Neurospora crassa OR74A: one gene and its partners. Each later gene encodes a partner of the first gene's protein in a complex. Links are inferred from orthologs where the notes say so. Each region holds a gene or a part of one and is shown in the gene's direction. Other genes may lie near its edges. The genes, in order: NCU06767, pcn and NCU08427.

Region 1 (3,748 bases):
TGATCTCGAAGATAATCTGGTTGACGGCAACTCTGGTCGCCCAGTGGTCGAACGAACCCTTACCCTTACCCATACGCATCTACACCGGAAATGCATGTGAGCCTCATGTCCGCTAACAGTCGGCATCCGGCCTTCCCGGGCTGTGGGTTGTTCAGCTGCTCACCTCGTTACCGCTGACGTACACACCGACGTTACAAGCAACGCGCTTGTACAGGCGGTACTTCTGACCACGCAACCTCTGCTTGATGGTGTCCTCGGCGAGCTTGAGCTGTTGGGCGCTAATTCTGCGGTGGTGATCGCGCATGCGCAGGCCGTAATCTCCCCAAACCACTGTTGTTCCTTTGGTCGAACCACCCGTCGGCACTCTGGGCCTTCCCTTCATCATCTTCTTCTTTCTGTTGAGGTTGGGCTCGAGCCACGAACCAGCCTGGATGGCGGTCGCAGAGAATAGGCGGACATGGGAGGCGACGGAAACGGGGGTCGGCGCAATGGGGCGACGGACGGCAGAGGTTGCGAGCGACGCGGCACGGAAGGGAGTCGCCGACGAGGATATCCTAAGGCCCTGGAAGGCGCTGAGGAGCGCCGAGGAAGCGTTGTGCTTCATTGTGTTGAAGGTTTGGGTGTGGACCGGACCGGGGAGGGGACGAGTGGTGGACGGAGGACGGAGGGAGGGTCCAATTGGATGCCGGTCGCCGACGACGATTGATACGGATTCCCCGAAGCAGCGCGCGCACAGAGACGGGGACCGGGCAGAGCGACTACCTGCAATGGAAGGTGCTGCGGGCGCGGACGGGGCACGGACGGCACTTCCAAAAATTGTGACCCACCAAAAAGTGTCGGGTGCCGGCCGCGACATGGAATCTGCCGGACACAGCAGACAAGCGGGACCTGGGACTCATTCATTGACTCCTCACAAGAAATACAGCTGCGTGGGCGTAGCTCAAGGCAGCAAGTTGGCGAATTCTTGTAGGACAAGGCCCCACCAGTCGCGACAGGGGAGCAGAGCCCGGACACAGACTCGCGTCATCCACTTCACCTTCGCGTCTCACTCATCATTCAATTGTTACTTCCGTCTTTACAAGGGACAAGAGTCGACCCGTTAGCTCTTTACCCTTCTAGGCCTTTTGTTCAACAACACTTGTTAGGCAGAAGGACAGCTGCCTGGACAACTCAGACACCAAGAACAAAAGTCCCTACTTCCCAACTCCGCCACTATAAGAAGATGCTTGCTGGTGTCATCTGATTGTTACATCTTCCCAACCTTTTGACACATTCAATTTATCATTTTGTATCCAGTGATTTCTTCTCACATACTCCATCATGCCTGCCGACATTCGCTCGTTTTTTGGTCCAAAAGGTGGCGCGCCGCCTGCTAAGCCGGCAACACCAGCACCCAAGAAGGAAGAGGAGAAGAAGACCCGGGGTAGTAAGCTTGAACCATGATCGCCATCACAAGCTTATCACGTTATATTAACAATCTTGTCGCAGGGCCAAGAAAGGTTGTTGAGGACAGCGAAGATGACGAGGTTGTTGAGTAAGCTTAGTGAAAAGCATCTCTTCTCAGAACTAGCATCTAACCAGCATGTGTAGAGTCAAAAAGCCAACCAAGGCTGCGCCAAAGAAGAAAGTAGCGTAAGTGTTTATGAAACACCTCTCAGTTCCATGTCATCCTATTCCTGCTGACAGACTATCTAGGGAACCCGTAAAAGGAGTTGAAACCGATGCTGCCAAGTACTTTGCAACCTCAAAAACAAAAACTGCTGCTGCGTCCCAGTCAACACCGAAAAAGACACCCGCAAAACCCGAGCCAGAAGAACCAAAAGTAGCGCTTCGAACAAGCCCGCGGAAGAAAGCCACCCCCGCTGCCAAAGCACCAGAGCCTCCCAAGACTACTACAAAGAAGACCTCGACTACGAAGAAACCCACGACGGCCTACAAGAGTTACGACAAGGATGACGATGGCGATGCCTACATGGATGATGAGCACGATGCTGGAGAGGACATATTTGCGGCGGAATTCAAGGGTGGCAGCAAGAGGAAAAAGGACGACGACTATGCCGAGGAGGACAGTGACGAGGAGCTCCTCCCCAAGCCCAAGCGAATGGCATCTCGCGCCAAAACAGCAGCCGTAGCCGAGTCTGACGACGAAGACGTCAAGCCTGGACCCAGCAAGCCGAACAAGAAATCTACAACTACTACGGCAGGGAAGCGGAAATCCTCGGTTGTTATAAGTGACGAGGAAGACGAAGAGGAAGAAGAAGTCAAGCCAGCGAAGAAGAAGGGAGCCCCCGCTAAGCCCCGTGCGCCAAGGGCAAAGAAGGATGCGGCGGTTGAAGAACCCGAGGACGTCAAGAAGATCCTCGACAATATTCCCACAATTGAAGCACCAGATGCTCCTCCCAAAGACCCCAACGTCAAGTTTGACTGGAAGACCAAGGCCGCCGGAGCTGGCAATGCGGGTCCACCCCCCATGGCGGGCACTGCCGACATTCCTGAAGGTGAAATTGATTGTCTGGCGGGTAAGACCTTTGTGTTCACCGGCCTGCTCAAGACTATCGCGCGTGAGGAAGCCCAAGCACTCGTCAAGCGCTATGGTGGCAAGGTCACAGGAGCGCCATCCAGCAAAACCGATTTCGTCGTTCTCGGCGACGATGCAGGACCCAGCAAGCTGAGGAAGATCAAAGAGCATGGGATCAAGACCATTGATGAGGAGGGCTTGTTTTACCTCATCAGGACGATGCCCGCCGGTGGTGGCACCGGAAAGGGGGCGGAGAAGGCCAAGCAGAAGCGGGAGGAGGAAGAGAAGAAGGTGCGTGAAGAGGCCGAGAGGCTAGATCGCGAAGAGAAGGCTCTGCGACTGGCGGCTGAGAAAGAGGCCAAGAAGGCCGCTGCTGCTCGCGGTGTTTCTGGTCCCGTCCCTGCTGCTCTGCCCCCACCGTCGTCACAGCTCTGGACAACAAAGTATGCCCCCACGGCGATGAACCAGATCTGCGGCAACAAAGCCAACGTGGAGAAGATACAGAACTGGCTTAAAAACTGGCCCAAGTCTAGAAAGTACAACTTCCAAAAGAGAGGCGCCGATGGTTCAGGTGGATACCGTGCTATTATCATCTCCGGTCCTCCTGGTATCGGCAAGACAACTGCGGCGCATCTTGCTGCCAAGATGGAAGGCTACGACGTGATCGAGAGCAACGCCAGTGACACTCGCAGCAAGAAACTCATCGAGAGCGGTGTTAGTGAGGTCATGACCAACACATCTCTTCTAGGTTTCTTTGGTGGAGATGGTAAGCATGCTGATGCCCGCAAGAAGAAGATTGTTCTCGTCATGGACGAGGTCGACGGTATGTCCGCTGGTGATCGCGGAGGTGTCGGTACTATGGCCAAATTCTGCAAGAAGACCGAGGTGCCGCTCATCTTGATTTGCAACGAGCGCAGATTGCCAAAGATGAAGCCTTTCGATCATGTCGCCTTTGACATCAAGTTTCAGCGTCCCACGGTCGACCAGATCCGCTCGCGTATCATGACCATCTGCCACAGAGAAGGTCTCAAGATCCCGCCACCGGTCGTCAATGCTCTCATCGAAGGTAGCGGTAGGGACATTCGGCAGATCATCAACATGATCTCTACAGCGAAGCTGGATCAGACCACCATGGATTTTGATCAAAGCAAGCAAATGAGCAAGGCCTGGGAAAAGCACGTCATCCTCAAGCCTTGGGATATTTGCCAGAAGCTGATCGGCGGTGGCATG
Region 2 (3,276 bases), on another chromosome or scaffold:
CTCTCTAAGCGGGTTGACCACTGTCGGCGAAGAGAACGAAACCGGCGGCGGAGCGGAGGATGCGCTGAAAGCGCTCACCGGGGAGACGTCTCCCACACGAAACTCCTCGCCAAGTCCCAACGAGCCGGATGTGTTTGAGGCGGTTGCGCTATCGGCTCGGCCCAGGAGTATGCTGACCAGGGAAGAGAGATTGGTGAAAATGAAAGAGGAGAGAGAGATGAGGGCAATGCAGAGAGAGAAGGCGGAAGCGAGTAGGGGCATGTTGAAGGAGTTGGAGATGGTGATTAATCTGAGGCCGAAGAGACATACAACCATGGGACCAGGCGGGGGAAACGGCAGGAGTGCGGCGCCGACGAGGATTTCTTTATGACGACAGACAAACTCTGCGGCATTCGCGCTGTCTTTCTTTCGGGTTTCTTTTCTTTGACCACTATAATCTTACATGGCATCAAGGCATTGCGCGCAGACAAAAGAGAGGGGCGAACAACAACGACGAGAAGGTCAGCTTGCCAGTTTTCTTGAAAAGCAACAACAGCAACAACAACAACAACTTTGGGTAGAATGGCGTTTTGACGGACATACAGACCATGGGAACATTTGAAAGCTGGGGCAGGCAAGCGAGCAATGTGGGACACAGAATTTAACGGCGTTTACACAGTTTATACAGACGATCTTGGGCGGGCATTCTGTAACAAATTCTTTTTTGAGTTGGGGGAGGGTGTAAGATAGGTGAAATAATGTAATAATCAAAATATATTGGAGAATGGAGGTAGAACAGAGTTCGCGCAGAAATGAGGGAGTCGAATAGTTGAAGTCATATCATCGGAACTTGAAGTGAGCAGCATACCTTTGGTTCGACATTGCCGTCGAGACACGATCCAAACAGAAAGAGGGGATTCAGGGCGACAGCTCCCACTGAAAACGCGAAGATTGCGCCTGAAAGCGGACTAACAGCGCTGGAGAACGGGACCGTGCACCGGGAGCTAGCCTGAAGCGGTAAATCAATTAAGCCTAACCCCGGCTCAGCGCGTTTAGCTGCCATTAGCAGGCGCGTCAAGTCGCGAAGTGGGTGTCCCGGCACCACCTGTGGTATTGGTGGTTCCTCTCTTTTTATCGTCCATTGCCTGCCTGTTGCAGCTTTTTGAACAAAACCATAACTCTTCCCAAATCCAAATCTTTTCTTCTCTCTTCTTTCTTCGTCAAACCACGAGCGCCTCTCTCTCCCGAAAGTGATACCCAGCGCGCGCATATTTTCTTCCCTCTTTGTCTTTTTTTCCCCCGTCGAGTTCGGTAATTCACATCCATCAGTATGTCGTCTCTGTCTGAGCGTGAAGCTGCCTGCTCGCTTGCTCGCTGGCCCGGCACTAGGAAGAAAAGCTGGAGAACTGGAGTGATGGGTTGCTGACTGGAGGACTACCACAACAACAGAAATGCTTGAAGCACGGTTGGAGCAGGCGTCGATCCTGAAGAAGGTATGTCATGTCCTCTTCCTGTCAAGTGCTGTCTGTTTCCTTTCCCAGCTAGAAGACCCCCACTAACTCTGTCATGATGATGACGATGATGTCCAGGTCGTCGACGCCATCAAGGACCTCGTGCAGGACTGCAACTTCGACTGCAACGACTCGGGCATCGCCCTGCAAGCCATGGACAACTCGCACGTCGCGCTCGTGTCCATGATGCTCAAGACGGAGACCTTCTCGCCCTTCCGGTGCGACCGCAACATTGCGCTCGGCGTCAACCTGACGTCGCTGACCAAGGTGCTCCGCGCCGCCCAGAACGAGGACATCCTGACGCTCAAGGCCGAGGACGCGCCCGACGTGCTCAACCTCGTCTTCGAATCTTCCGAAAACGACCGTATCTCCGAGTACGACCTCAAGCTCATGGACATTGACCAGGAGCACCTGGGCATTCCGGATACCGAGTACGCGGCCACCATCAGCATGCCGTCTTCTGAGTTTAAGCGCATCACCACCGACCTCATGGCCATGAGCGAGAGCGTCAACATTGAGGCGAGCAAGGACGGCGTCAAGTTTAGCTGCCAGGGCGACATTGGCAACGGCAGCATTACCCTCCGCCAGCACACCAACGTTGATAAGCCCAGCGAGAATATCGAGATTGAGTTGAGCGAGCCGGTTTCCCTCACGTTCTCGCTCAAGTACCTGGTCAACTTTTGCAAGGCGAGCGCGCTGTCGAGCACGGTCAAGATCTGCCTCTCCAACGAGGTGCCCCTTTTGGTCGAGTACAACATTTCGGCTAGCAGCTACTTGAGGTTCTATCTTGCGCCCAAGGTATGTCTTTGTTTGTCATTTTCTGGGTGGTTGTTTTCTGTCAGGCGTGATGCTAACTGGTTCTGATTCACAGATTGGCGACGAGGAGTAAACGCCCCATTTACCTCCAACAACCGAACCACATCTTTGTTACGAACACCACGAAACTATGCCTTCATGTATACCTCGAGTTGCTATAAAATCATGGGGAGGAGGAGAATTGCAAGTCATGTAGAAGATAAGGGGTGATGCAGTGATGAGAAGAAGAAAAGGGATATGAAGAAAAAGAAATCTGTGTTTTTGAAAGAGTCTGGCACTAGTACACTACACACAAATGTTTTAGAGGGCGTTTTGTTCTTTCTGCTGCGAAGATGAATGTTTAGGGGAGACGACGAGGTGTCAATGATTATTGCGATGGCCTCCAACAACACACCTTCACCAAGGAACCCGATGCTGTTGTCGTTTCCTTTTTTTTTTTTTTTTTTTTTTTTTTTTTTGTCTGATGGTTTCTAACATTGATATCGGCAAACTGTCCTCCCTGTATCACTATGGTAATCATCGCTTCTCGGGAGTTCAGCTTGGCGTTGAAAGTAGGTATCTCAGAAGTGGGTTCAATCACAAGTACACCAGTACTGACATCACCACTTCCCGTCAGTCGGCGTGTTTTCCAGAAATCTTCCACCCGACTGTTTTTTTTTTTTTTTTTTTTTTTTTTTTTTTTTTTTTTTTTTTTTTTTTTTTTTTTCATCCGATGAAGTTCCTGGTGTTCACCAGCTTCCCCACATTGTTCATTCAATGTATGTAACTTACCTACCCACCACCTGCGTGACGTCCCCTCCCGCCTACAACAGCCCAGGGCCCGGGGCGCGCCCAGCAGCTGAATGGACTCCGCATTCAAGTTGCCCCTAACCCGCCCTGCAGGAAACTTTTTGGCGGGGCATGGGTGGTTCCTGGGGAAAAAAAAAAGAGTCATTGACTGGCCGGCCCTGTGCCATGACCGTTAGCGGCG
Region 3 (3,748 bases), about 2.0 Mb from region 1:
TGCGCTGCTCAAAACAACATGGGAAGAAAGAGGATGGACCTACCAGGAGCGTATTCTGTCCCTGCGGTATATGTACTTTGTCGATGACACGGTACACTTCCAGTGTCAACAAGCCACTTGGAGCGAAGACTTTGCAGCCGAGTGTCGGGACCTGGACTTGACCGCCGCTGACCAAGTGGTAAACTTCAGTATTGTCCCCAGTGAAGTTCCTCCCACGGTTGAGTTGCGGCCTAATTTGCAGTTCCAGCTCAAGCGATATCCCGAGCTGGTAGGGCAATACACATGTCGCAATATGACATTCATAACCGACCGCGTGAATGGAATCCAAGGTATCTTGAACGTGATCAAAGATCATTTCTTTTCTCAGAATGTCGAGTTTGTGCACGGGATGCCCACGGGGGAGCTCCTGCATCCAGGGCTTCTTTGGCGACCACGACGGGAGCCGAAGAGAATCCATATGGATGAGAAGACAGAAAGACCCCTGTGGCCAAGTTGGGCATGGGCCGGGTGGACTATACCAGTCTACTACGACTCGGGTGCTGACTTTTCGGCCAACAGCACTGGTCGATATCAAGCAGAAATCAGCCTTGGCCCGGACCCCTACTTTTTACACCTGAAGGCTCGCGTCGCTCGGTTCAGACTCATGATTGAGGACCGAGGCAATGAGGATGCGGTCCCTCCACTACCTCGGGTCCGGCCAACACGGTTGACGCGGTATGCCATCACACATGCGACACATCCTGAGGGAGGTGATCACGAGTGGATTGGATCCATATGGTTGTCGTGGTCCCACCGAAGAAAGTTCGTTGAACAACGGTTGAGTCTTATTTCGAAGGGTACACACGAGTTCATTCTTCTTTCAGACGCAGACAAGTTCGAGCAAGAGGAACTGGTGCAAGCGGCAACAGCCGAGAAGAGAGCCGTGGTCAACGTCATGATGATCGAACGAAAGGATGATCCAAGGACGGATGGTCGGGTTCGCATTGAGCGTGCGGGTGTGGGCCGAATGTACAGAGATACCTGGGATCGAGTTGAAGATAAGTGGGAGAGGTTTGAGTTGGGATGAGACGGAGTGATGAGGCTGGTAGCCAAAGGAGTCACTTGGTCGGGCATCCTCAATATTGGCGTCCCGACCCAGAACTGGAGTGGGAACGTTGATGTGATTGGTGGTTCAATTTCATTGGAAAGAGAGCAGTAAACTTAGTTCACTAAGAGAAGAGGATGTCCACATGTGAAGAGATTCCATCCTAGAGAACAAGGAGAGTGAAGTGAGGGTGAGCCTTTGAGGTTGTAAAGTTGAAGTTTTCAAACAGAGACCATGGATGAATGAGTGGAAGAACAGTTGAGCTTCATTAAACTGTGGCTGGGGTACCAATACTCCACTAACCGTGTGTGGCTCAGCGCCCAAAACCAATTAACCAGCCACACGAGGGGCCTGTTGCCCGACGCGTCTGTCCTTCCTCTCGACGCGTTTTCCCAGCTTCACTTTCCCGGCCTCACCAAGTAAAAAACACCACCCAACCATAAAGTTCACGTCGGCGCAAAACCTCCAGAGTAGACTTCAGATCACATCAGCCTCGACATCAGCGACCCAGCCCAATTCTACCACCATGTCGGACTTTGAAGACGAAATGGACATTGATGTCCCAGTGTCCAAGGACGTCATGTTCGCTGCCACCAACACGGCCAAGGGCAAGCGAAGCGCTGCCAACCTGCCTGTTGAAGCAGAAGACAGTCTCCCATGGTAGATATTGCCCCCCATATGTCTTCATATGCCTATCAAATATCTAACCAGCCTGTGACAGGGTCGAGAAGTACCGCCCCGTATCCCTCTCCGATGTGTCTGGCCAACAAGACATTCTCGCAACCATCAACAAGTTTGTCGACACGAACCGACTCCCCCATCTCCTATTCTACGGTCCCCCCGGTACCGGAAAAACATCGACCGTTCTCGCCCTGGCCCGACAAATCTATGGCGCCGCCAACATGCGCCAGATGGTGCTCGAGTTGAACGCTTCCGATGACCGTGGTATCGACGTTGTGCGCGAGCAAATCAAGACCTTTGCCTCCACCAAGCAGATCTTCTCCCTCGGCTCCTCCTCTTCGCGCTCGGGGCTGGCTGGTTTCAAGCTTATTATTCTCGACGAGGCCGATGCTATGACGTCCACAGCGCAGATGGCCCTCCGTCGCATCATGGAAAAGTACACGGCCAACACTCGCTTCTGCATCATTGCCAACTACTCCCACAAGCTCAGCCCAGCCCTCCTGTCGAGATGCACACGGTTCCGTTTCAGCCCTCTAAAAGAAAAAGATATTCGTGTCTTGGTGGACAAGGTCATTGACGAGGAAAACGTCAAGATTCTGCCAGATGCTACCGATGCGCTGGTGCGGTTGAGCAAGGGTGATATGCGTCGGGCACTAAACGTGCTCCAGGCTTGCCACGCGTCAAGTAAGTGGTGGTGTCCTCGTCTCGCCTTCTGTTGCGGGCCTCAAGCTAACCCAGGTCAACCAGGCACACCACTCCAACCAAAGAACGCCCCCAAGATCGCCGAAAAGGACATTGTACGGGAAACCATCACCATTCGAACCATCTACGACTGCGTTGCCGCCCCACCACCCGACGCCATCAAAAAGATTCTCAGCACACTTTTGAGCACGAGCGACGTCACAACCTGTCTGTCGACTATCAACACCCTCAAGGTTGCACAAGGTTTGGCCCTTGCCGACATTATCACCGCTCTGTCGGAAGAGATCGTCAAGCTGGAAGTCAAGCCGCAGGTCATGATCACATGGCTTGATGAACTTGCCAAGATTGAGCATCGGGTAGCGAGCGGAGCCGGAGAGGTGATCCAGACTGGTGCGGTAGTGGGTGCGATACGGAATGGTGTAGAACTGATGGGATAGGGTTGTTGTTGTTGAGACTCAAAAGCAAAAAGCTACTCGGTGTTGTTTTGTCTGCATCTATGGTTCGGAGTTTAAGCATCTGGCGTTTGGGCAATCGATCAAATTTTACCTTCTTCGACTGAAGTTACCAACTCCTCATTTCCACCTTTTATATTATGCCCCTTTCTTCCTACGGCAGGGGGATATCACGACGGAGAGCTACAATACGGCAAGAAATATAGATGGATAAGTAATCACTATTCATCGCGAGACTAGCTAATGATATCCAGCTTAATAGATGTACCTGAATCCCGCTGCTCTCCTATCACCCGACGCCGCAACAGCCGCAGTCTCTGGGTTCTCAGCCTCTTCCGCCTCGGCCCTCTCCAGCTTCTTGTTCTCCCATTTGTGCAGGTAGCGCAAGAACAACGCCAACAATCCCACAAAAAGGCAGATTACAGAATTTGCACTACCTCCAGGTATGTACTGTGGCGCCGCCGAAGCCGGGTACATGTATGACCCGTAAATACTCGCTGTGTTTCCAAACATGTTGGCAATAGCCACAGCAGCCGAGCGCTTGACCATGGGACGAGGGAACGAGTTGGCAACCCACGACAGGATGATTTGGTCTGTGGGTCTGTTAGTCCTCACCTTCACCAGGAACTACGATAAAGCAACGAAAAAACCACTCACAAGAAGAAACTGCTCCCATGGGCATCAAGAACATGGCAAAGAACCGTGCTCCCACCTTGGTCGTGCCCGTCGCCACCGCGTTTCCCACCGCAGCCAGCAGCATCAAGAAGAAGATATGCAAACTGCGATCGCCCGTCTTGGAACTCGTCCACGTCACACAGACGGAGATCAA

What was found.
Region 2: the proteins of NCU06767 (region 1) and pcn are in contact, whole or in part, in a crystal structure (PDB 1SXJ), measured with the Saccharomyces cerevisiae proteins. The link is inferred for Neurospora crassa OR74A from reciprocal best matches to the Saccharomyces cerevisiae genes RFC1 and POL30. Residues at the interface, in NP_014860.1 of Saccharomyces cerevisiae: Lys331, Asp373, Ile374, Leu375, Ala390, Gly391, Asn394, Ala395, Leu396, Asp397, Asn398, Met399, Ser400, Val401, Val402, Tyr404, Phe405, Lys406, His418, Phe419, Ser448, Thr449; in NP_009645.1 of Saccharomyces cerevisiae: Val40, Asp42, Ser43, Arg44, Val45, Leu46, Leu47, Asp124, Leu126, Lys127, Ile128, Gly208, Lys210, Tyr211, Glu232, Ala233, Pro234, Phe249, Ala251, Pro252, Lys253, Phe254.
Region 3: the proteins of NCU06767 (region 1) and NCU08427 are in contact, whole or in part, in a crystal structure (PDB 1SXJ), measured with the Saccharomyces cerevisiae proteins. The link is inferred for Neurospora crassa OR74A from reciprocal best matches to the Saccharomyces cerevisiae genes RFC1 and RFC3. Residues at the interface, in NP_014860.1 of Saccharomyces cerevisiae: Glu635, Gln636, Trp638, Ser639; in NP_014109.1 of Saccharomyces cerevisiae: Asp120, Met122, Thr123, Asn124, Ala125, Gln127, His151, Lys152, Leu153, Pro155.

Annotation. Positions count from the first base shown.
Region 1 is NC_026502.1:2,004,361-2,008,108, forward strand, and holds the start of NCU06767 (replication factor C subunit 1), read left to right. Parts: upstream 1-1,039; 5' UTR 1,040-1,320; coding exon 1,321-1,426; intron 1,427-1,488; coding exon 1,489-1,534; intron 1,535-1,590; coding exon 1,591-1,632; intron 1,633-1,695; coding exon 1,696-3,748. Other genes in the region: NCU06768 (mitochondrial 54S ribosomal protein YmL47), read right to left, coding at 1-79, 164-604. UniProt on the Saccharomyces cerevisiae protein: Component of the ATP-dependent clamp loader RFC complex for the POL30/PCNA homotrimer DNA clamp.
Region 2 is NC_026501.1:9,447,324-9,450,599, forward strand, and holds pcn (proliferating cell nuclear antigen), read left to right. Parts: upstream 1-1,071; 5' UTR 1,072-1,307; intron 1,308-1,428; 5' UTR 1,429-1,430; coding exon 1,431-1,472; intron 1,473-1,568; coding exon 1,569-2,288; intron 2,289-2,361; coding exon 2,362-2,379; 3' UTR 2,380-2,734; downstream 2,735-3,276. Other genes in the region: NCU09240 (hypothetical protein), read left to right, coding at 1-370. UniProt on the Saccharomyces cerevisiae protein: This protein is an auxiliary protein of DNA polymerase delta and is involved in the control of eukaryotic DNA replication by increasing the polymerase's processibility during elongation of the leading strand. Involved in DNA repair.
Region 3 is NC_026502.1:4,031,808-4,035,555, forward strand, and holds NCU08427 (activator 1 subunit 3), read left to right. Parts: upstream 1-1,479; 5' UTR 1,480-1,610; coding exon 1,611-1,744; intron 1,745-1,805; coding exon 1,806-2,449; intron 2,450-2,512; coding exon 2,513-2,904; 3' UTR 2,905-3,174; downstream 3,175-3,748. Other genes in the region: NCU10392 (hypothetical protein), read left to right, coding at 1-1,066; NCU08428 (MFS transporter), read right to left, coding at 3,175-3,512, 3,577-3,748. UniProt on the Saccharomyces cerevisiae protein: Component of ATP-dependent clamp loader (RFC and RFC-like) complexes for DNA clamps, such as the POL30/PCNA homotrimer and the checkpoint clamp DDC1:MEC3:RAD17 complex.